Drosophila melanogaster: one gene and its partners. The protein of the gene in region 1 interacts with the protein of each later gene in a pairwise test. Each region holds a gene or a part of one and is shown in the gene's direction. Other genes may lie near its edges.

Region 1 (5,023 bases):
CTCTGATCATGGTGCCCAGCAGGATGGATCCCTGGGCAAGGGATCGCTGCACACCCTGCGAAGCGACCAGGAAGGCCATCAGAGCACCCGGCGACAGACTCTCCGTAGACATGAGGTGGCCGCCCATAAAGAGCGTAGATAGGACTAGTGTATTGAGGAAGAAGTTGGTCAGGCCCTGGAAGATTGCGATGCCGTAGCCGAGTTTCTGCGCCAGGCGAGCCGCCTCATTGGTCTCCGCCTCGAACAGCTGCATCTCGCGGTATTCACAGGCACTGGATCTAACCGTTCGGATGTTGGACAGCGCCTCCTCGCAGACACCCGTCGCTCGTTCCGCCTGCGCCTGTGAGCTTTTGCTTAGAGAGCGCAGTTTCTTGCCCAAATACGTCATGAACATAACCACGCACGGAACGCTGGCCAGCGCAATGGCGGCCATGTGCGGTGAAATCATGAAGAGCGATATACTGCCGCCAATCAGCTGGGCAGCACTTCGCAGTCCCTGGGAGACGAACTGCTTGAACGAGGTCTTGAAGTCCTGTACATCGGCGGTTAGTCGATTGACCAGCTCGCCCGTTCGATTCTCATCGAAGAATGCGATGTCCTGGACGACAATCTGCGTGAACAGATCCTGCCGCATCTTGGCTGCCATCTGCTCACCGACGCGGCTCAACAGGTAGATGTACATAAAGGTGAAACCAGATTGCAGCATGTATAGGCTCAGCAGATTGCTGGCCGGTTTGCTCACGTCCTTTACGAACGAGTTGTTAATCGGATCCATCACGTACGTGTTGGCATATCTGGCCAGTGTGTTTACCAGGTCACCGAGAAGATTTGGGATGCGTATGTTGATATAAGCCACTATCAGGGCGGCCTGCAAATGAAATTAGCTAAATATTTTGACAAATGCTACACCTGTTCGTGGGCTTTTTGTGATCCAAGAACTCACGCATACGGCCCCGATCAGCTCCCAGAGATGTGGCTCCAAGTAGGTCCACAAACGCTTCCAGTCGAAGTGCTGCTCCGACGCAGTGTCCTCCTCCTCCTCCTCCTTTCGAATGGCCAGCCGGCTGCCTTCGCAATGAACGATCGCTCCGCGATGCCCCGCCCACCAGGAACGGGCGCCCAGACCGATAGCTAAACTACCACCGCCCCACACAAGCAGGCGTGTCGTCTGCAGCAGGCGGCTGGCATTTGTGGGCGGTATCGCGGGCGGTTGGGGAGCGTTCGTTCCACGCAAATGTTGGCGCATCAGGCGGGCGGCATTCTGGAGGCGTGGCAGTGGCTGCTGCGTGGGCTGCAGCAGGTGGCGACTAAACAAAGCGAAATAGGCGGTTAATAATAGGTTGGCTGATTGATGACATAACCGGAGTGAGGGCGAGGGGGAGTCGTTGTTTCCCCAATTCACTGCTGGCCGTAGCAGATCCTCGTGCGTCGGCGGCCCAGAACCTCGCCCGCGATGGTGACCCCTACTCTACCTAAATATGTCGCTGCTCCTGCCGCAATTGGACACGAGTAGGCGCAGCATCTCTTCTCGCGTGGCTTGCAAATATCAACAAAATACGCAAGCGTTAACGCATCACCTGGCGATAGACGCACAGGCATGGCTAGCGATGGGCAACTGTAAGCTATCGATTGTTCGGCGAGTCGTTAAAGGGGCATTGCTGATATTTTCCTGTTCAATATTTTGAATCCCCTTTTAATAATGATTCTACATGAAAAGTCTGAAGATCAATAATAAAAACCAACAGAAAAAATAGACTTATTTTAAAAACTTGCATTTGTCCATTTATTACTTTAAATGAGTATCGAAGTCTAGTTTCCAATGCAGCAAAAAATTATAAGTTTTATAGGATACGAGCAAGAAATGTGGAATTGATTTAATTTGTTTAATTGATTTATCGATTGAAAAGATTTATACATTTATATTAATACAAAATATTTAAAATGTAGGAATATATGATTTTTTAAGTGACCACTGTCCTGTCACACCAATCCAACTGTTTAGTGTCATCTCTATCTGCTGGCAGTCTGGCAACACCACGAAAGTCGAGTTGGCATTTGATTTCATTGCTGCGTTCGGATTGAAAAAATTTCATATTTAATTGTTTAACTCCCAAGAACGTCAGCAAACCAGTAACTTGTATAATATTTTTAGTTAAGTACAGCCGAAAAAAGTGCCGTACCGAGTGCGTGTAAATAAACAAGCGATTTGTGTAAGTCAGTGTGCAGCGTAAGCTAATTAGAAGAGAAAAAGGAGAGCTGTATGTGTGTTTGTGCAACCTACCTGCCTGCGAATGTGTGTTTACTCTCTCTCTCTCGTAATATTAGGCTGTGTTTTATTTTTATAAAAGATAATTGACAAAGCCACCTGAAAAGTGTTTTCTTTAGTTTATTGTGGCTAGTAAAAGCGATTGTGTGCTCAAAATTCGCAAAAAAACACCGGATTGCAACCCTGCGTATGGTTCTTTTTCGCCAAGAGAAAGAAAAAAGAGTGCTGTCTCTTTCTCTCCCTCACCGCTGCTCCAATTTTTTTTTTCAAGAGAGTGTTTTCACTTTTGACTTGCGAAGTGGTAAAAAAAACATTTAAAAATAAAAAAAAAAGAAATGAAAAAAGTATATTTAAGGTCAGATTCGAAAAATCAACTGCACAAATTATCAGCGGCTTAAAAAATAGGTAAAACAAAAAACCTGCTGCGTCAAGAGAACAACAACAAAAGTAAGAGAGCAATGAAACGGTGGTAACAAAACGAAGAAGAAGACCAGAAGAGTGTGGGAGGGAGAAGGGGCAAAATATGGCAAACGTCCACGTAAACTTTTAACTTTTGCTTTTCCGCTCATTGTGAGCTCTATAATATACCCTAAATTCTATTTTGTTCAGTATTCGATTGCGTATTTTCCATCACTCTTCACGGTTTCCAAGTGTCATTAAGGAAAATCCAAGAAAACGGGTAATTTTCCATCAAAACTGGTTTGGTTCATTGAACTGCCCCACAAAATCCAGCAACCACCCCCTGCAATCTCCCCGGAAAACTCCTTATAACACCTAGAAACCTTTTAAATATCTTGGGCGAAGAAACGAACACTTTAATATTAAGTTTTTTCGTTACCATACCATACCTTTAAACCCTTTTTTCGGTTGAATATCTCTTTTGGAAAATAAGCCTGTTCAAATTGCGGGTAAAGATATCTCTAGGGACCTGAAAACACCTTAAAAAGATATTTAAATTGACGATTTACCAGGATATTAACGTGATTTCTGTAGAAATAAGTAGGCATTCATTTTTGAGTTAAAAAGTTGACATCCTTTTGTTTTTCTTTGTTCAGATCCAAAATGTTGCACAATAATGCGCCCTGGCTGCCACCGCATCAGCAGCAGCAGCAACAGGCGCCGCAGCAACATCCTACTCCACAGCAGCAACATGCAATGCCCCAACAGCAGCAAACTCTTCCTGCCCAGCAGCAGCAGCAGCAAGTCTATGCCAGCCAAATGTTCCAGCAACATCAGCCAAATTATTGGCCAGAGGATCAGCATCAACAGCAGCAGCAGCCACAATCCCTGAACTACAATAACTACTTTCCGGGACAGCAGCAGCAACATCCTATGCAGCAGCAGCAACTGCCACCGCAGCAGCAACTGCCACCACAGCAGCAACAGCCTACGCAGCAGCAACATACAATCCAGCAGCAACTGTATTATCCCACTCAGCAGCAGCCACAAGTCCCGGCTCCAGCGGAACCAGCTCTGGACTCGTTTGACAACAATAATAGCGGAGGAGGTGGTGGTGGCGGCCGGAGCGATGGCTGGGGTGATTGGGGCGATTGGAACGACAATAGCAACAACAATAATAGCAACGGCACCGATGGCTTGTTAGAGCCAACCGGACAACTGCTGGAGGATTCCTTCAATGTTCAATCCTCGCAAGGCAGTTGGCAGGCGTTTGCCACTAGCAATAATGTCAATAACAATGGAGAGTTGCCGCCACCAGCCAATCCGCAGTCAACGTCCTTGCAACAACAGCCATTGAATCAGCAATCGATACCTTTGCTGCACCAGCAGCCACAATCGCCGCCGGAACTGGGGCAGGAACCCGAACTGGATGCCATTGTGCCTCCCCAGGCTTTCCAAAACCAACCACCAACTGCAGCACCACCACCAACATCACTGACTTCCTTCTCTGCACAAATGACTGCTGTGGGATCGCCAATCTATGCTGTTGGAGCATCTTCAGCACATAGCGCAGGAGTAGGAGCTTCACCAGCACCTCCCACTGGAGTAGTAGCTCCGCCAGCACATCTCGCCGGTATAGGAGCTCCACCAGCACATCTTGCAGGAGTAGGAGCTTCGCCAGCACCTTCCGCTTTAGTAGGAGCTTCTCCAGCACCCATCATTGGAGTAGGAGCACCACCAGTGGGAGCACCACCAGTAGGAGCACCGCCAGCGGACGCTACAACTATTGCACCACCGGCCGCACTGCCACCTAGCATAGTTCCATCGTCTGGTTCCAATCCCTTCAAGCGTTCCACGGGCCTAAATAAGCGAGTGAACATAATGGCAGATCCTGCAGCAGGAGCTCCATCGCCTCCAGCTCCTGCTGCTGCAATTGCTCCTGTGGCACCAGTAGCACCAATTCCGCCACCAGCAGATCAGCTCTTTGGTATGCCAGCAGAAGCTCATGGAGAGGGTTTCAACTTAATTGCGGCGCCACCTGTTGAGGCTTCACTTGGAACTCCACTAAGTGCACCTATTCCTGCACCCATTCCTGTACCTAACGCATCGCTCTATGCATCACCGGCTGTTCCACAGGCTTTTGCGCATTTGGAACCGGACAATCAGGAGGTTTTGTCCGCGCCAAATGACGAACGGGCCCAGTACTTGCAGACCAGCCACCTGTCCGAGCAGCTGGGCGAAGGTGAAGCGGATCAGGATGCGGGCCTGCTGCCACCACCAGGACTGTCTCGTCTGGTTTTGGGCCAACCGGAGTTGGATTCGCAGCAGCAACGCCAGGTCACTGGAGCCACAGAGCAG
Region 2 (4,204 bases), on another chromosome or scaffold:
CGCAGCGAACGGGTCCGCCATGAACGGGTCCACACCAACACGCGTCCTTATGCCTGCCAGGAGTGCGGGAAAACTTTTACGCACACAGCCATCCTCAAAAATCACATCCTTTCGCACTCCGCCCAAAAGAATTACAAGTAAGGGAGAGTAATCCTTTCTAGTGATTTGCACTTTTTATTAATAATTTGAACTTTTCAGCTGTGGTATCTGTTGCAAGTCATTCACTCTGCTGCACCAGCTGAAAGCTCACCTGCAAACGCTAACCCACCGCAACAAAATGGAGCAAACCATTCCCAGCTCTCCGGAAATGTTAGAGAGCTAATATAGTAAATTAATTGAGGAACTAGGGTTATCTATTATAAGTAGTATAAAGCCACTTTTCCAGAATAGACCAGCTATTTTTATTAACTATTCTACCACGTCGCTGTACTCCTTAGCTATCAGACGGTGCGCAAGAGACTTCTCGTGCGCTGTAAGTTGGTGCTTAAGCCGAAATTCTTTTTTACACATAAGACACTTGTGAGACTTTTCAGACGAATGCAGGTAGTAGTGAGCGTTACGAGAGGAGGACAGAGAGAATGTTTTTCCACATATGTTGCAAGCATAGGGTCTTTCATTCGTGTGCAAACTGAAATGAAGAAATTCAACATTGGAACTTAAATGCTGTACACAATATATATAGTTTTTGTCCATTCTACCGTTCGTGCTTGCGATGAGTGCTGTTGTCGGCAAAACGGCGCGAACAGTAGCAACATTGGTAAGGTTTCTCGCCCGTGTGCGTCCGCATGTGTGTTTTCAGGTTGCAGGCGGCTCTGAATGTCTTTTGGCAAACCCTGAATCATACATTTTATATATGAAATATTATGTTAAGATATATCACGGATACTTACTCGCACTGGTGGTCCTTTTCCTTGCGGTGCACCTGCGAGTGTGCATTTAGCTGAGATAAGCAGCGGTATGTATTGCTGCAGATCTTGCATCTGTACTTGTCCGGCTCGCAGGCCACTCCTAGATCTATCACGTAGTCGGCACTTGGCTCTAGATTATGGTAATCCTCGCTTGTCTCTTGAATACTGTCCGTAGCAGCGCTGCTTTCTTGCGAATACGTTTCGGAGTAATTTTGATCGGAGATCTCCCTGTCCAAATCCATATCACTGATGGTATAGTCCTCCTGGTGTATGTCTTTCTCGTTTTCCGCATTCACGTTGAGATCGAACACGAAATCGCTTGAAAATTTATTTATGGGTAAGATTTCATCATCTTTGGTCGTTTCCAATGCATTCTCTTGAGTCTTAAAGTTAATAGGATTCTCTTCGATGAGTCTCCCCGAAATGTTCTGCTTCCTGGCGCGTTTTTTCTGTTCAAGCTGGTCCTTATCCTCCAGCGTCTCAAATGCCGATGCGGAGGACAGAGTTTGACGAACGAGGCTTCTCAGGTGCGCGTCGGATTGTTTGCACGCGCTAAGAAATCTGTCCACCTCCTCCAGTTGCATCAAGCAGACTGTGCAAATTTGATCCGGCAGTCCATCATCCGGTTTCACCTAGGAGAGAGGATTTGTAACTGGTAAACTGGAAGCCAAACAGAAATCGAGTACTCACAGATGTGCCGGCATACGAGATCAACAGCTTGTGGGCATTGGACTCGAAGAGCGACTGCAGCGTGGATTGCGTTCCTTTTTTGCGGCAAGTGCGGCACATGCTCCATTTAATGCTGATTTCCATCGTTATTTCCGCAGGAAGTCCCTCTTTCGCGTCAAATGCCGATTCAAATGCCAGAGCAGTGAATTAAAAGTAAAAGGGTTGTCAGGTACGCGGAATTAGTAACAGTTTTCAACTATCATTCCAAATTTTTTTGCATTTAGTTCTAAAACTGTATTTTTATTGCGTGACTCAAGCTTAAATATTTAATAGGGCCCACCTGTTAGTTTAAAAAAAAAAATTAAGATTTAATTATTATCAATTATTCAATCGATATGCCGATAGCAAGTTCGATAGCCATTTATCGTTTTGCGTACATGACAACCCTGGGAAAAGTTCCAAGACGCTTGTTTATTTCAGAATTGCAAGCATACGTACGTCCAGGACGTGCAAGATAATGCCCGAGTACATGTTGTGCCGAATCTGCTTGACAGAGGACATCAACTCGGAGGCGATGGCGCCCCTGTTCGATGACAACGACGCCCAGTGCCGGGAGCTGGTGCGCAAGATTGAAGAAGTGGGCAGCATAAAGGTACATGTGGATGCAAATGTAAAATCCTGCGACTTAACCCACTCTGTGCTTTCAGCTGGTGCCGCTGCAGAACATCCCCAGTATGTTGTGCTACAGCTGCGTGGAGCGACTGACCAGTGCCCACAAGTTCCGGGAGCTTTGCCAGGAGAGCGAGCGCACATTTGCCACCAATGTAGTCAAGGTACGTATAGAGTTGATGGGCCACATATAAACATCCCACTTGACCCGGTACCATGTCAGGCCGAGATGAAGTCGGAGCCAACGGACGAGGTGCCGCACGTAGTGGCTGACAACATTGAGTACATCTACGAATCGGCCAACGACTTCATCGACGGTGTCGAGGATGACATCGGAATGGAGAACATCATGGAGGAGCCCCTGGAGGATGGTGTCGGGGAAACGTCGCAGGCCTACGAGACTAGCACTGTAGTGGACGACCTGGACGAGGATGACTTGCTGGTGCCGAATAGCACCGATAGCGACTACCAGCCCATCGAGCGCTGCCGCAAAGCTAAGGTGCGTAAAACGCGGATGACTAAACGTGGACGTGGCCGACCTCGCGGTGCTAGCTCCGGACACCCACGCAGTTTTAGCGAGGAGCGTCCGCCTGTTCAAGCTAGCTTCAAATCATCTCCCGAAGTATCCTCCACGAACATTATGTGCGAAATCTGCGGCAATATCTACTCCAAGCGAGCCGCTCTCAACATTCATATGCGTCGTCATATGGCCGAGAAACCATTTAAATGCGAGTGAGTATCTGAAATTATCATCTGAACCATTTTATATTATGTAAATCTTATTCCGCTTACAGAATATGCAGCAAATCCTTCGCGGGTCCATCCGAGCTAAATCGCCATATCCGCGTTCACACGGGCGAGAAACCATTCTTGTGTAAATATTGCAACCGCTCGTTTGCGGATCGCAGCTCCAATATTCGTCATGAAAGGTGAAGATGCAATTCCTCATAGTAATCTTCATATAAACTATACTTGTTCCTTTTGCAGAACACACACAAACGAGCGACCTTTCACTTGCTCCACATGCGGCAAGGCATTCTCCTACTCTAACGTGCTAAAAAACCATATGCTCACCCACACGGGCGAGAAGCCTTTTCTGTAGGTCCATTGACTGCTTTAATCATGTATAACCCTAAATTCCCTTTAATTTTTCAGCTGTCGAGTCTGCAATAAGACCTTTTCCCGCAAGCACCAGTTGGATCAGCATTTGGGCACCATGACCCACCAACAGACTGTAATACACCACAAAAACGAACGGACGGGGCGCTATTAGTCGAAAACAATGCAATACAATTTCTGTTAGATAATTCATTAATGTACATTTAATTATATATAAAAATTGTAAAATAAAAAAGAGTACAAATGGTCAGACCGGATGTGTAAAATAATCGGATTTGATTTATTACTATTTGGTTAAAGAACTTGTTCAAAAACACAAATATTTTTTGTAATGTTTTTTATTACGTCCATATATTCGAGAAAAAAATTGGAACACGATTACAATCTTTGATTTTGTGCGTTTATTTGGTAGTTTTAACATCATTTTGGCCATTAAATGAGTGTGCGTTTTTTATTGTTTCTTTTCTTTGTGCTCTGTCGAAGACTTTGTTACCGTTTGTGGAAGCTACAACATGGAATAATAATCGAATGGCACAGGATTAATTAAATCTTCTTTTTTTGGACAAGTAAATATGTTTTGTTTTTTTAGGTTTATAACTTGTAACGTTTTACATCAAAATCTAAAAACGTTTGGAAGTCGGGAGGGATGCGGCTCTTCTTCTATTCCTTAGGGAAACAAAAAGTAAAACCAAATATGCTAGATATTCGCATAAAATGGATTTATGCGAATACCTGTACTTAAATGTACGTCTACCTTGTTAAAGAAAAGGACGCGGAATTTTAGAATTCTTACCGATAGCTAATTAGTGTAATGGCTAGATAGGCAGCTTCATTGTTCA
Region 3 (6,981 bases), on another chromosome or scaffold:
GATCGAAGTCCTCGATATTTCGAGCCGATCATCAACTACCTCCGCCACGGACAATTCGTATGCGATTCGAACATCAGTGTGTTGGGTGTTTTGGAGGAGGCGCGGTTCTTCGGAATCTTTTCGCTTGTCACCCATTTGGAGGAACGCCTGGGACAGCAGGAGACGCCGCTGGGGGACAGACCATTGACGCGCAACGACGTCATCAAGGCCATCATTCAGACCTCCGTGATAACGGAGCTGCGCTTTCAAGGCGTTAATCTGTCTGGGGCCGATCTACGAAAGCTAGATTTTCGCAACATTAACTTCAAGGTGTGCGCAAACGAATTTCATTTCAATGCATACATTGTGTAATACAACATTTTAAGTCTTTCCAACGCCGTAACACGACTGCATTTTAATATTATTGTAGTTTGCTACGCAGTAAAGGAGATATTTTCGTCCGGAAAAAAATGGAAAATTATTGGTGGAGATCTATCAAGTTGAAGACAATAATTATACTAAAGACTATCCCTTTTCCTTCACAGTATGCCAACATGTCTCACTGCAATTTGTCCCACACCAATCTTAACTACTGCTGTCTTGAACGGGCGGATCTTCAGTACGCAAACTTGGAATGTGCCCAACTAGTGTCAGTGCGGGGACTTTGCGCCAATATGGTAAGCACAGGTTTAACAGAAAACGCTATTAAATAATCACATCATTTGTGAAACTAGTTGTAACAGATTTACGCCATCCAATTAGCTAAGAAAACTAATCTGCCTAATCTTTCAGGAAGGTGCAAACTTGCGTGGGTGTAATTTTGAAGACCCAACAGGAGTTCGAACTAATCTAGAGGGTGTTAACCTCAAAGGAGCATGTTTGGAAAGCAGCAACATGGCCGGTGTTAACTTACGTGTGGCAAATTTGAAGAACGCCAATATGAAGAACTGTAATTTGCGAGCTGCGGTGTTAGCAGGTGCCGACTTGGAAAAATGCAATCTTTCTGGCAGCGACTTGCAGGAGGCAAATTTGCGTGGGGCAAATTTAAAGGACGCGGAGCTTACCCTAATGGTGACCCCATTGCACATGTCACAGGCCATACGATGATATCTTGGTTGGCACCTATCACTAATATTACTGTTATTGACTGTACATACTTAAAAGTTTAATAGTAGGTTATAAAATAAACAGTATTAGGATTGAATTTCTAAAGTCGTGTGTATTATTCTTATTCCTTACTCGTAGAGTAAAAAAGTATACTAGATTCGTACTAGAAAAGTATGTAACAGGCAGATAGCAGCGTTTCCGACTATATAAGGGATATATATTATATATAATCCGGATCAATAGCCGAGTCTATCCGTCTGTCCGTATAAACGTCGTGATCTCAGGAACTATAAAATCTAGAGGTTGGGATTAAGCATACAGATTTTAGAGACGCGGCTCACGTTTGTTGACCCATGCTGCCATGCCCATTCTAATGCCCACAAACCGCACAAAACTGTGACGCCCACACTTTTAAAAAATGTGTTGATATTGTTTCATAATTTAATTAGTCTTGAAATTTTCTATCGATTTGCCAAGAAACTTTTTACCACACCCATTCTAACGCCCTAAAAACGCATTCCCACTGGCTGAGTAACGGGTATCTGATAGTCGGGGAACTTGACTATAGCGTTCCCTCTTGTTTTTTTTAATGAAATTTCGCGTTCGCATTCACACTAGCTGAGTAACGGGTATCTGATAGTCGGGGATTTCGACTATAGCATTCCATCTTGTTTTTTTTGTTTATTACATAGTCTTAGTCGCATCACTAAAGATTCTTTTATATTTTTATATAAAACATTCCTTAGGGACCTTGCAGAAGAGTTACATTTAGAAAATCCTAAGCCGGGGCAGGAGCCTGTGTTAATTATAGTTTATCCTTCGATTCCTTTATCTACAAGAAACATAAATAAAGAAAATAATATAAAATTTATCTATTTTTAGTTTTTAATACCTTATTCGCAGTGATCACAGCTTACAATTTTACCGAACTATCTGGGTGGTACTCGATGTTTATTAAAATAATATATAACAATTGAAGCGAAAAAAGATGATGGACTTGCATGTAGATCTAATGTATATTGTCGGTGGCGTGTATAAGCTCAGATGTATAACTTTTATTATATTTTTAGCTAGAACCATCGCAAGCAACTCTATACGAAATGTATCGATGTATCGCATCGGCGATGTTTTTTTACGTCACCAGAGAAACGTCAATTTTCAAACGTGGTTTGTTGGAAGCCAGCGGAGAACGGTAGACGTTGCTTGTGAACTGTGAACTGTGTAGCCGTAGCCTGAGCCGGTAAAAAATTGTGAGCAGAACTAAAACACAATTGGCGAGCGATTCGATGGAGGACCAAAGCAACGCAGCCCCCGCTGTCGCCGCGGAGAACGGCGGAAACACCGCGCAGGAGGTGTCTTCGACAAGTAAGTGGCCTGCCCTACTACCCCGCCCGCTCGCCGACGAAAATTGCGTGTAATTCTCGCGAGTGCTGGTGATTCCATAAATGTTTTGCGCCGCGCCGCGCCTTGCTCGCTGGGCATCCAAAGTGAATACCCATGTTCCAGAGGGGCAGGTGCCCGATTCAGCCATTTTCTAGGTGCCAGTGTAGAAGCGGAAGATTGTCGAATTCCGCCATATTTATTTCTAGGAGACCCTAGCTGTAAATAAGAGTTGCCGAAACGCCGAAGTTGCTTGTTGTTGACACTAATTACGTCATCTTTGCGCGCATTCTTCCCACAATTACAAAAAGTGAAATGAATCATTTTCGGTGCTCTTGGCCGATTTCGATTTCGAGATTCTGTGCTCGCAGTGTCAATTCACCCGCTCGCTTGCGCCCCGCGCTGCCCGACACCACTACACGCTCGCGGCACTGCTCATACGAATACATATTAATTGAGAAATTCGCGAGTCGATGCGCTCATCGCCCAGAAATGTGTGCGTGCGAGTGTGTGCGTGTCGAAGCGTTGCCAACTTATTGGTCATGCGTTAATATCGGGATATGGGTTCTTAATTTGTATTTCTCATTGAACCCGCCAAGAAAGACGGCCGAAATAGTTTTAGCGGCCAATTCATACTTCAGTTTCAATTCAACAAGCGCACACACATGCATGTTGACGTGTGTTCTTTAACCAGCACAGGTGGCAACCCTGCCGTCCCGATTTTGCATGCAGATTTTTGTTTTCAATGATACGGGCCGGCGTTTGCTGGTGTATGTTTGGGTCACTTTCACATCTGATTACTGGGCGTGGAAACCGGTATATCAGCCGCGGTATCACTTTTAGTCCAGCGCCAACTAGCGTGATAACACGCGTTCATTACAGACGATAAGGGCAGCGGCTGTGTTGCTATTCAGCACATTTGATTCGCACTTTTACAGTCAACCTCCCCTAACAAAAACTAACATGTCCGAGAAGTTGGGGAATCGCTTGGGTCCGCACGTTATCATACCTACAGATCAGCTCTGGAATGGAATGTGGCTTGATTTAATGAAGGCTAGCTATCACTAACACAAATACAAATGAGCTCACCGCTGCAATAAACTAAAATATGTTTCTTTTAGTCATCTGTTTATGTTATTGGAGCATATTATTGTAACAAACATGTCGTTACAGCTCAGCCCATAGAGCCCACAAAGCGCTCGCTGCGCGTGCAGACCTGGAAAAAGATCCAAGAGGGCAAGGTTGGCATTGGATTCAACAACATATTTAACCGAATTCCTTCGTTCGTGGGTGCCGATAAGGCTGCTGCCTTGTTTGCCAATGAAGAGGAGTTCAAGAAAGCACGTAAGGGAGTACCACAGCCCCGTTTTCAGTGCACCAATTATCACTCTTTCCCGTATTGCAGAGCACATCAAGGTGAACATCGATCGCGTCTTGCATGAGTTTAAGGAACTGGCATTGCTGGCCGACAAGTCCGTATACTTGCCCAGCACCCGCGAATCTTCTGCACTGTGCCTAAAGGTAGATGTGCTGGCCGATGCCACCGAGGAGCAGAAAAAGGAGGCTCTGCGCGTTCAAGATATTCAAAAGTTTCGCTCGGAAATTGGATTGGACAGCGGTCTGAAGCTGGACATCGTGGTTATTGGCTCTGTTGTAGTGTCACGCGAGGGTTACCGCATTGGACGCGGAAATGGTTTCGCTGATCTGGACATCGGCCTCCTTATTGAACTGGGAGCCATTACACCGAAGACAATTATTGTCACAATCGTGCACGACATGCAGGTGGTGGACTCACTGCCCCCGAATCTATTCCAGAAGTACGATACGCCAGTTGATATCATTGCAACACCCACAGAAATAATCAGGGTGCCAAAGCGCTTGTCTTTCCCCAATGGCGTTTACTGGGAGCTGCTGTCCGAGCGCCGTCTAAAAATATTGCCCGTGCTGCAGCAGCTTAAGGAAAGGGAGGAGAAGGCGGGAAAATCCATATCCCTCAAGGAGGAAGACACCGATGTGGAGCAACATCAAAACAACAGACGCCGCCGTGGGCCTGTGCGCCGGCGCATCCAACGAGGAAACCCAGGTCGCACCACTTCGCAGACTGACAACGAACAGCCGCAGGGCGTAAGTCGAATCCACCACACTGTCGGCACTATTGAGTAACTTTTAACTCTGCATTTTTAGGAGACTGCTCAGAAACGCACTCCGCGGCGCAAAGGTCGTTTCGTCAATCGCCGCAGACGTACAACTAAGGTAAGTAGCTTAAATATGACAGCCGAAGCCAGCCTAATCAACGTAATTTTAGTCTGAGGGCGATCAGTCTGGTGTGGAAGCAGGTGCTAAAACTGATGATCGTAAGTTACCAGAGGCTGGCACTGATGAGCGTCGTTCAAAGAAGAACAAGAACAGTGATTTTTGCATTAAGTTGACAAATCTGTCTCGTGATATTCGCGTCAAGGACTTAAAGTCGGAGCTCCGCAAACGCGAATGCACTCCGATGTCAATTTCTTGGAAGGGTATGTCACTTATATTTGGTTTAAAAGCTCTACGCTAACTATACCTTCTCTTTAGGACACTTCGGAAAGTGTTTCCTGCACTTTGGAAACCGCAAGGGGGTTCCCAGTACCCAGGACGACATGGACAAGGTGTTGAAGTCTCTCAACGATCTCTCGCTCACCATTACCACTGGTGGCGAGACAGCCCCAGCTGCCGCCGCAGGGGAGGGCGGTGAGAAAGCAGAGTCAGCTGAGACTGCAACGCCTGTGCAGACCAAGACTATTCTCGTCAACGTAGAACTGATCCAATTTGGCGAGAAGAAAAGTGCTAGCTCCACTGGTGCCAATGCCGGTGCAGGCGAGGATGGAAAAGCAGACGCGCAAAACGGAGGGGAGGCCGTAACTGTGGCAGGAGGCGACGTGGGTGGTGCACGCATCGAAGCTGTCGACACCACCACAGTATAGTATGACTTTGCGCTTGGCGCAGCCAATGAACGGTCGCGGCGGACTTCCGCCGACAGCGCAATGTTTGGAGTTCAACGAAAAAAAGTAACATTTTGTTTAGAAAAAATCGGGAAATACCAAACAAAAAACAAATAGAAAGCGAACTCCGAACAAACACAAAGTACACTCAAAATACACACTCACTAAATACACGCTGGCAATTACACTTGTGCATACACTGAATATCATGTTTTGCAGCTTGTAGTTTCTTCTTCTCCGTCATTATTCTAACCAACAAGAAAATCAAACGCAACTCTTTCTAACGAGAACACAAATCATTGACGCTTTTTCTAAACAATTGCATTTGTTTTTTGCCTAAGAAAATTAAAACGATTGCAGAAATACTCGTTCCACAAATGCAAAGTGGAACACCATTTCTTCTAAATAATCCTTTTACTAACTTCTTGTGACTTGTTACAATTCTGAATTAGAACTTCTGAATATTTGTTAATTTGATTTCACACCTCAGCAATAAGATCGTTTTGCTGTATCTCTGTTAAGCAGTTGAGCTGCTAGTAATAGGGCTTGAAGTTGAGTGCGTTGAAGTTGAAGTAATGTTCTAAAATGTAATACTAATAGGAATGCCCTATAAATGAGAAATACCGCGAGTAAGAAAAAATGAATTAACAAAATATTTACATGTTGCATTTGGTTAGTCTTTTCCAACTTTCACCGCAAACATCAATAAATTTAATAATATTTTTAACAGAAGAACAAGAAATGTGTGAAAGCAAGAATTATACAATGCAGAACATAATTATACAAGGCAGAACATAATTATTTACCCTTTTTTTATACACAAAAGGCATTACAAAAAAAAAATATGAAACATGAATGAAATATAACTTGAAATAAAAATTAAAAAAATCGTAAAAATAAACTTGACCGAAAATTACCCGTTTATTTTGCTTTTAGACTTAAATCTAATATGTACAAAGGTAGCTTAGACCTATTTTATTTAAAAGTTATAAAATGTCATAGTTCTGTATATAATATGCGCATGTACACAAAATGAAGTTTACAGGAGTTCGAAAAATAGGTTCTGGTCTTTATGGATGGATGGCTGACAAGTCATCGTTGCGCAAGTGGGTCTGGTTCTTGTGCAGTTTGAAACCTGTTGCTTATCAACCGCGTCCTAGGTTTTATTTTTGAAACGGACTCTGCGGCATGTCAAGTCTGCTGCCAGCCGATTCTTTAATCTGCGGTGAAGGAGTGCGATCAATGAACTCAATACTCTCGCCCTTTAACTGGGCGACTGCGGATGATGCGGTCGCACAGTCGCCGTCGTGCACAACGCAGGCGGCGGGTTTCTCTTGGATGGGGGCCAAGCTGTTCACGATGGAGTTGGCCATGGCCAGTTCCAGTTCGCGCTGCCAGTCGTTTTCCTTTTGTTCCATGGCTTTGCGCTTCAACTCCTTGTAGCGGTTGTAAACGATGAACTCTTTGACCAGTGCAGTCTCTGGATCGCTGTCGCGTTGTGCTGACCTCTGCTTGGCCAGGCGCTTCTTCTTTTTAT
Region 4 (6,269 bases), 8.8 Mb from region 1:
GAGGAGGAGTACCAGCAGAAGGGGCTGCGCCCGCGACACGCCTACTCGGTGCTGGACGTGAAGGACATCCAGGGACATCGCCTGCTCAAGCTACGCAATCCGTGGGGTCACTATTCGTGGCGTGGCGATTGGTCGGATGACTCCTCGCTGTGGACGGACGATCTTCGGGATGCTCTGATGCCGCACGGCGCCAGCGAGGGCGTCTTCTGGATCTCGTTCGAGGATGTGCTTAACTACTTCGACTGCATCGATATCTGCAAGGTGCGCTCCGGCTGGAACGAGGTGCGTCTGCAGGGGACATTGCAGCCCCTGTGCTCCATCTCCTGTGTGCTGCTCACCGTGCTGGAGCCGACGGAGGCGGAGTTTACCCTATTCCAGGAGGGGCAGCGCAACTCGGAGAAGTCGCAGCGATCGCAGCTGGACCTGTGCGTTGTGATATTCCGCACCCGGTCTCCGGCGGCGCCGGAAATCGGTCGATTAGTGGAGCACAGCAAGCGTCAGGTGGGTGCTTCCCATAGCCCTGCAAATAGAAACGCTTCTAACAATTGCGTTCCATTTAGGTGCGAGGCTTTGTGGGATGCCACAAGATGCTGGAGCGGGACATTTACCTGCTTGTGTGTCTGGCCTTCAACCATTGGCACACGGGCATCGAGGATCCCCACCAGTATCCTCAATGCATCCTAGCGATACACAGCTCCAAGCGTCTGCTGGTGGAGCAGATAAGTCCCTCGCCGCATCTCCTGGCCGACGCTATCATTAGCCTGACCCTAACCAAGGGACAGCGGCACGAGGGGCGCGAGGGGATGACCGCCTACTATCTGACCAAGGCAAGTGATCCGGTTGCGAAGGGATCTAGGGATTCGGTGGCCTTACTAACTCGACCGCATTTCCTTTACAGGGCTGGGCGGGTCTGGTTGTGATGGTGGAAAATAGACATGAGAATAAGTGGATCCATGTGAAATGTGATTGCCAGGAGAGCTACAATGTGGTGTCGACACGCGGCGAACTCAAGACAGTGGACTCTGTGCCCCCGCTGCAGAGGTGGGCTCCCAATCGACCACCTAAAATATTCCCCCAACTAATTGCTTAACGTGTGCTTAACGCTTTCAGACAAGTAATCATCGTTCTCACCCAACTAGAGGGCAGTGGCGGCTTCAGCATCGCCCACCGGCTGACCCATCGTCTGGCGAATTCCCGCGGCCTGCACGACTGGGGGCCACCCGGCGCCACCCACTGCCCGCCCATCGAGAATGTCCATGGACTGCACGCTCCGCGGCTAATCACCTAGAATGGGATAGGGATAGGGATGGATGGCAGTGACGCAATTTCGATGCTACCCCGCGATATGTCGCTGTTCGAATCCTGATTTGCATGCGTCTCCTCTCAATTCTACCCGTCTTCTAGTCGATGTTCTGTTAACGAATCACACATTACAGCGAAAAACCCAAAGTTGAAACCAATCAGCATGCGAAACAATTCATATATATGTGTATAGAGCCGTGCAGATATGATATATGTATGTGTTTATGCACTAAGGCGTATCGGAAAGTGGGAGCAGATCCCCGGTGGGGATACGGCAGAGCCCAGAAGCCCCAGTCCGGAGTCCTAAGGCTAAGGCTCGGCACGATTCGCTTGAGATCCAATGATCTGTGTTTTGATTAGAGCGGCTATGATTGTGGATTATATAGATATGTATTGTGAATTTAAGTGCATCCAATATTAATATGTGTATTGTTTTAAAAATAAAGACTACAAGTTATAAAAGCCACCAATGTGTAAACAATTTCAAATGTGTACGCGCGAATTGGAAAACGATTCAATCAAAATATACCTTACGATACACAATAGATGGCGCCAGGAGATATTCGACATGGTATCTACATAAGATGTTATCTACTGTCAAAAACGCTACGAACTAAATCGTAAATATAGTCCGGGCTTAAATTTCCGATTAATAAAGTGAAATCATAAAAATATAGTCATGATATAATATAAACCATATAAAACCATAATAATTAAATAACTTATTAAATATGGTTACGTTCAACCAGATTTTCAAAAGAAATACCAGCTTGATCTTGTTCAGACGGTCGTCATTTTTGTTTTGCCGCCGAACTGGTCCCACTGGCAGCAGGATTTGCCAGTTGCGCGCTGCGGTCACACTAGTTGCCCTGCTATTTTGTTCGTCATTACGTTGATTTCTTCGTTCGTTTCGTGTTTTTTTTTAAAATGGCCGATACAAAGGGCGTGAGTAGCCGCTGTTCACTTGTCCAAATGCTAATGGCCAACGGCCAGTCCCCCAACGAACTCGATCCGCCGCCAACTGGGCGTGGCGTGCCATCCACTCCTGGTTGCCAGTGCATCAAATGCCGAATGCGGCGCTCCTGTTGATTTGTTTGCCGCTCATCTCGCCGCGCCAGTTCATCGGACACTCCTCCTGCACCGCCCTTTGTCCACTCGGTGGGAGCGGGCATTGCTGAGCGGGAGTGGAGAAGGAAGTGGAAGTAGAAGTCAAGTGATTCACAACATGCCGGTGGCGTCGGCGTTGTTCCTTTGTTCCCGGGACCTCTGCCGCCCTCGCGAAGCAACTTCGGCCGCCCGTGACCCACATGGCAGTGCATTCTGGTGCACGGAGAAATGAGTGCCGTGCCCATAGTTTGGGCGCCCAAGAGAAAACTGATCCGCGCGTGATGGGCATGCAAATCAAGCCAAGCCATCGCTTTCTAAGACCCAAAACCCTAACTACCAGACATTAGCTCAACCCAACTGAGTTGGGTTACGAGTTAATAAGGCATATGGAATACTTTCAATCACTTGTCCATTTTGGGTCATATCCTTGAACCCATTTCTTAACTCAACTCAACTTTCTCTTCATGAGATGCAAGTTTTTACTATTCCCAAAAGTGTTTTACCGAGAAACATAGTTCCAATTAATTGGTAGATAAATTGATCGACCGCAGATATATGTACAATATTACTATGATTTATCGTCAGTCTGCATTGCATGGTTTTATAGCTTAATCAGCATAGGCTGACCCACTTAATTATTCGCATATGTATTCATATGTATAGAACACAATGCACGGCACATTTAGTTAATATGCAATTCGTTAAGATTATAATTTCCATATGCAAAAAAGTCCACATTTGTTTCGCCTTTAAACGTTCCAGAAATAGTGCTGATATTGAACTGAGTAATTCTTGGTTTTGCAAGCAATGTTTGATTGTTTACCTGTTCTGAAATTAAAGGCATTACCTATCTAGTAGATTCTCAGAAAGTTTCTAATATTAATTATTTTTATTTATATATGAAGCCTAGGACTTTTGGTTCTCTATACTAATGTTATTCACCTATTCTCGTGCAGTTTTCCAGCATCGAGACGCCCGGCTATGTGGGCTTCGCCAACCTGCCCAACCAGGTGCATCGAAAGTCCGTGAAAAAGGGATTCGAGTTCACCCTAATGGTGGTGGGCGAGTCCGGACTGGGCAAGTCCACGCTGGTCAATAGTCTCTTTCTCACCGATCTCTATCCCGAGCGCATTATTCCGGACGCCATAGGTGGGCATAGTCTTTCGTCATCACTCGCTTTGATTACTCATCCAGGAAACCATTCCCCTCTTGCAGAGAAACAAAAGCAAACCGTAAAGCTGGAGGCATCGACGGTGGAGATCGAGGAGCGCGGCGTCAAGCTAAGATTGACGGTGGTGGACACACCCGGATTCGGCGATGCCATCGACAACTCCAACAGCTTTGGTGCCATACTCGAGTACATCGATGAGCAATACGAGCGCTTCCTGCGCGACGAGAGCGGCCTGAACAGACGCAACATTGTGGACAATCGCATTCACTGCTGTTTCTACTTTATATCGCCGTTCGGTCATGGGTGCGTTCCTTTTCCGTTTAACTTTTGAACATTTAATATTAAAAATAAGGAGTTCAAAGCTCAGTAGTGTTGCAAATTGTATAATAGAAAGTATAAACGAAGTATCACATCAATTTTTGTACCCAGCCTAAAACCCCTGGACGTAGAGTTCATGAAGAAGCTGCACTCTAAAGTTAACATTGTGCCCGTGATCGCAAAGGCCGATTGTCTCACAAAGAAGGAGATCCTGCGCCTGAAGTGCCGCATTATGCAGGAGATCGAGAGCCACGGCATCAAGATCTACCCACTGCCAGACTGTGATTCCGATGAGGACGAGGACTACAAGGAGCAGGTGAAGCAACTTAAGGAAGCTGTGCCTTTCGCCGTCTGCGGCGCCAACACACTGCTCGAGGTCAAGGGCAAGAAGGTGCGCGGTCGTCTGTATCCATGGGGCGTGGTCGAGGTAGAGAATCCCGATCACTGCGACTTCATCAAGCTGCGCACGATGCTCATGTAAGTGAAGCAAATATTCCAATATCTGATTGCTTATTAACTAACCACCTATCCCGCTGCCCCACAGCACCCACATGCAGGACCTGCAGGAGGTCACGCAGGAGGTGCACTACGAAAACTACCGCTCCGACCGCCTCGCCAAGGGCATCAAGGGCAAGGAGAACGGCGTGAAGGCCGAGCGGGACAGCAGCTCGCAGGTGGTGTCGAACAGCGTGCTCGGCGAGAAGGACCGCATCCTGCAAGAGAAGGAGGCCGAGCTGCGGCGCATGCAGGAGATGCTCGCCCAGATGCAGGCGCGCATGCAGGCCCAGCAGTGAGCAGGCGGGTATATCTTTTATATACGCGCTTGGCGGAGGCGGCAATCTCTAGTTATACACAAGTCGTATATATACACATATACAAAACATATATTTTGTACGCAGATTTTGGTTGCGATCGCGCTTTAATTCTACTCTCAATTGTGAAACGACGGGCGCTAAGTATTCTGTATTAATTTCGCATTCTCCATATATATATATCCGTAGTATCTAGATATACACACCACATACATTTATACACACATCTAACTTACACCTGCCGCGTATGCAAATGCCTGCAATGCAATTGCTTCATCAGAAAAACAAAGAACATAAGGAACACCAACCATCAGCGAACTCATATCACTTCTATCAAGCGAAACCACACACGAAAACAATTGTATTCCTATTATGTATTTAGACGCGATTAACAATGAATTATTATTGTAATACGCATCTAGGCTAAGCGAATCCAATCCGATTTATATTGTATGTTAATTCATTTTTGTCTGTTTACCTTACCCTTATCTGTGTTGTCTCAAAGCGAGCAATTTATTTAGGTTATACTATATGTTGCGTGTCAGCCTGCCCTTCCGATCCTTCTTGACCTCCATGGTCCGCTGTCCTGCAGTGCCGCCCGATTCCTAAGCACGATCTGATTGAATAAACAGTGATCCCTTCCTAGGCGGTCCCGGGAACCCATGGCCAGTTGCGGAAACTCGGTTTAGCAGGCTACTCGCTTAAAAGTGCACTCCTTTAACGGATGAAACAAAAACCAAAATGTGAAATCTCTTTTATTATGTATATGAAGACTTTTTTAACTCAATATAATCCTCTATGAATATATAAATATGCTTTTTATACAATTTGTAAGCCAGACCGTCTTATGCATTTTCTTGTAGTCTCCCATTTACTCAAAGTGTAAGGGGGCATACTATTTGTATTCTTGAGGAGATCACTAGCCGACTCCATCCAGTTACATATGTATGTACATATATGTACGTCTGTCCGTATGAGCGTCAATATCTCGGAAACTTTAACAAGCCGAATGTTCCAACTGCCAAGCCCATTTGTTTGTTTGATAAGTTTACTTTTGTTGTATTTCAATAACAATAGTTAGGCATTCATATCCTTTAGATACATTTGCAGTTGTGTTCGCCTGATGCCTGGCAAAATCTTAACCTTTTAGACACTTTTCACAACTGCTTGTCTTGCTTTTTTAGAGCGAAACCAAAATGCTCATTCAACGTATGCATTCGAAAACACAAGCAAGCACAAGAGTAACATTGCGAGATTTCACTATCAGCTTTTCCAATCACATTGGCATTATTGTTAGTAGAACAAAAGTTTTACTTGTACATATTTGTCAAGCGTTCGTCGAAAGAGCTTAAGGATCCTCACAACCTCAAGTATCCCTAGTTCAACCCATACTTGAGTATTGTCCGTGTGTATGGTCTCCTCAACACGTCTAGCATCAAGGTCTTGTGGAATCGGTACAGGGACACAGCCAGGATAATCCCTACCATCCCATCAATCATTCTCATGAAAAGAAGACTTATTTTTTCGAGACGAAAACGATCTCTATGTTGGATACATAT

The links.
Region 2: the proteins of Sec16 (region 1) and CG14711 interact in a two-hybrid assay, tested with the Drosophila melanogaster proteins (one large-scale study listed by BioGRID).
Region 3: the proteins of Sec16 (region 1) and lost interact in a two-hybrid assay, tested with the Drosophila melanogaster proteins (one large-scale study listed by BioGRID).
Region 4: the proteins of Sec16 (region 1) and Septin1 interact in a two-hybrid assay, tested with the Drosophila melanogaster proteins (one large-scale study listed by BioGRID).

Annotation. Positions count from the first base shown.
Region 1 is NC_004354.4:12,594,025-12,599,047, forward strand, and holds the start of Sec16 (secretory 16), read left to right. Parts: upstream 1-2,022; 5' UTR 2,023-2,210; intron 2,211-2,651; exon of another isoform or gene 2,652-2,713; intron 2,714-2,876; exon of another isoform or gene 2,877-2,945; intron 2,946-3,321; 5' UTR 3,322-3,328; coding exon 3,329-5,023. Other genes in the region: CG1824 (uncharacterized protein), read right to left, coding at 1-868, 944-1,307, 1,473-1,522.
Region 2 is NT_033777.3:11,621,317-11,625,520, forward strand, and holds CG14711 (uncharacterized protein), read left to right. Parts: upstream 1-2,022; 5' UTR 2,023-2,094; coding exon 2,095-2,229; exon of another isoform or gene 2,230-2,284; coding exon 2,285-2,410; exon of another isoform or gene 2,411-2,469; coding exon 2,470-2,978; exon of another isoform or gene 2,979-2,986; intron 2,987-3,038; exon of another isoform or gene 3,039-3,040; coding exon 3,041-3,175; exon of another isoform or gene 3,176-3,233; coding exon 3,234-3,344; exon of another isoform or gene 3,345-3,401; coding exon 3,402-3,519; 3' UTR 3,520-3,632; downstream 3,633-4,204. Other genes in the region: CG14710 (uncharacterized protein), read left to right, coding at 1-137, 199-322; Zaf1 (ZAD and architectural function 1), read right to left, coding at 409-628, 699-833, 891-1,540, 1,599-1,721; CG6813 (uncharacterized protein), read right to left, coding at 4,195-4,204.
Region 3 is NT_033777.3:4,400,830-4,407,810, forward strand, and holds lost (lost), read left to right. Parts: upstream 1-2,246; 5' UTR 2,247-2,372; coding exon 2,373-2,451; intron 2,452-3,639; coding exon 3,640-3,810; intron 3,811-3,871; coding exon 3,872-4,590; intron 4,591-4,650; coding exon 4,651-4,719; intron 4,720-4,771; coding exon 4,772-4,982; intron 4,983-5,037; coding exon 5,038-5,426; 3' UTR 5,427-6,353; downstream 6,354-6,981. Other genes in the region: CG14647 (uncharacterized protein), read left to right, coding at 1-309, 525-656, 772-1,086; CG32944 (uncharacterized protein), read right to left, coding at 6,608-6,981.
Region 4 is NC_004354.4:21,356,147-21,362,415, forward strand, and holds Septin1 (septin 1), read left to right. Parts: upstream 1-2,139; 5' UTR 2,140-2,229; coding exon 2,230-2,247; intron 2,248-3,365; coding exon 3,366-3,558; intron 3,559-3,624; coding exon 3,625-3,883; intron 3,884-4,009; coding exon 4,010-4,375; intron 4,376-4,442; coding exon 4,443-4,692; 3' UTR 4,693-5,542; downstream 5,543-6,269. Other genes in the region: sol (small optic lobes), read left to right, coding at 1-501, 561-827, 899-1,041, 1,111-1,288. UniProt on the Drosophila melanogaster protein: Involved in cytokinesis. May be involved in p53-dependent apoptosis.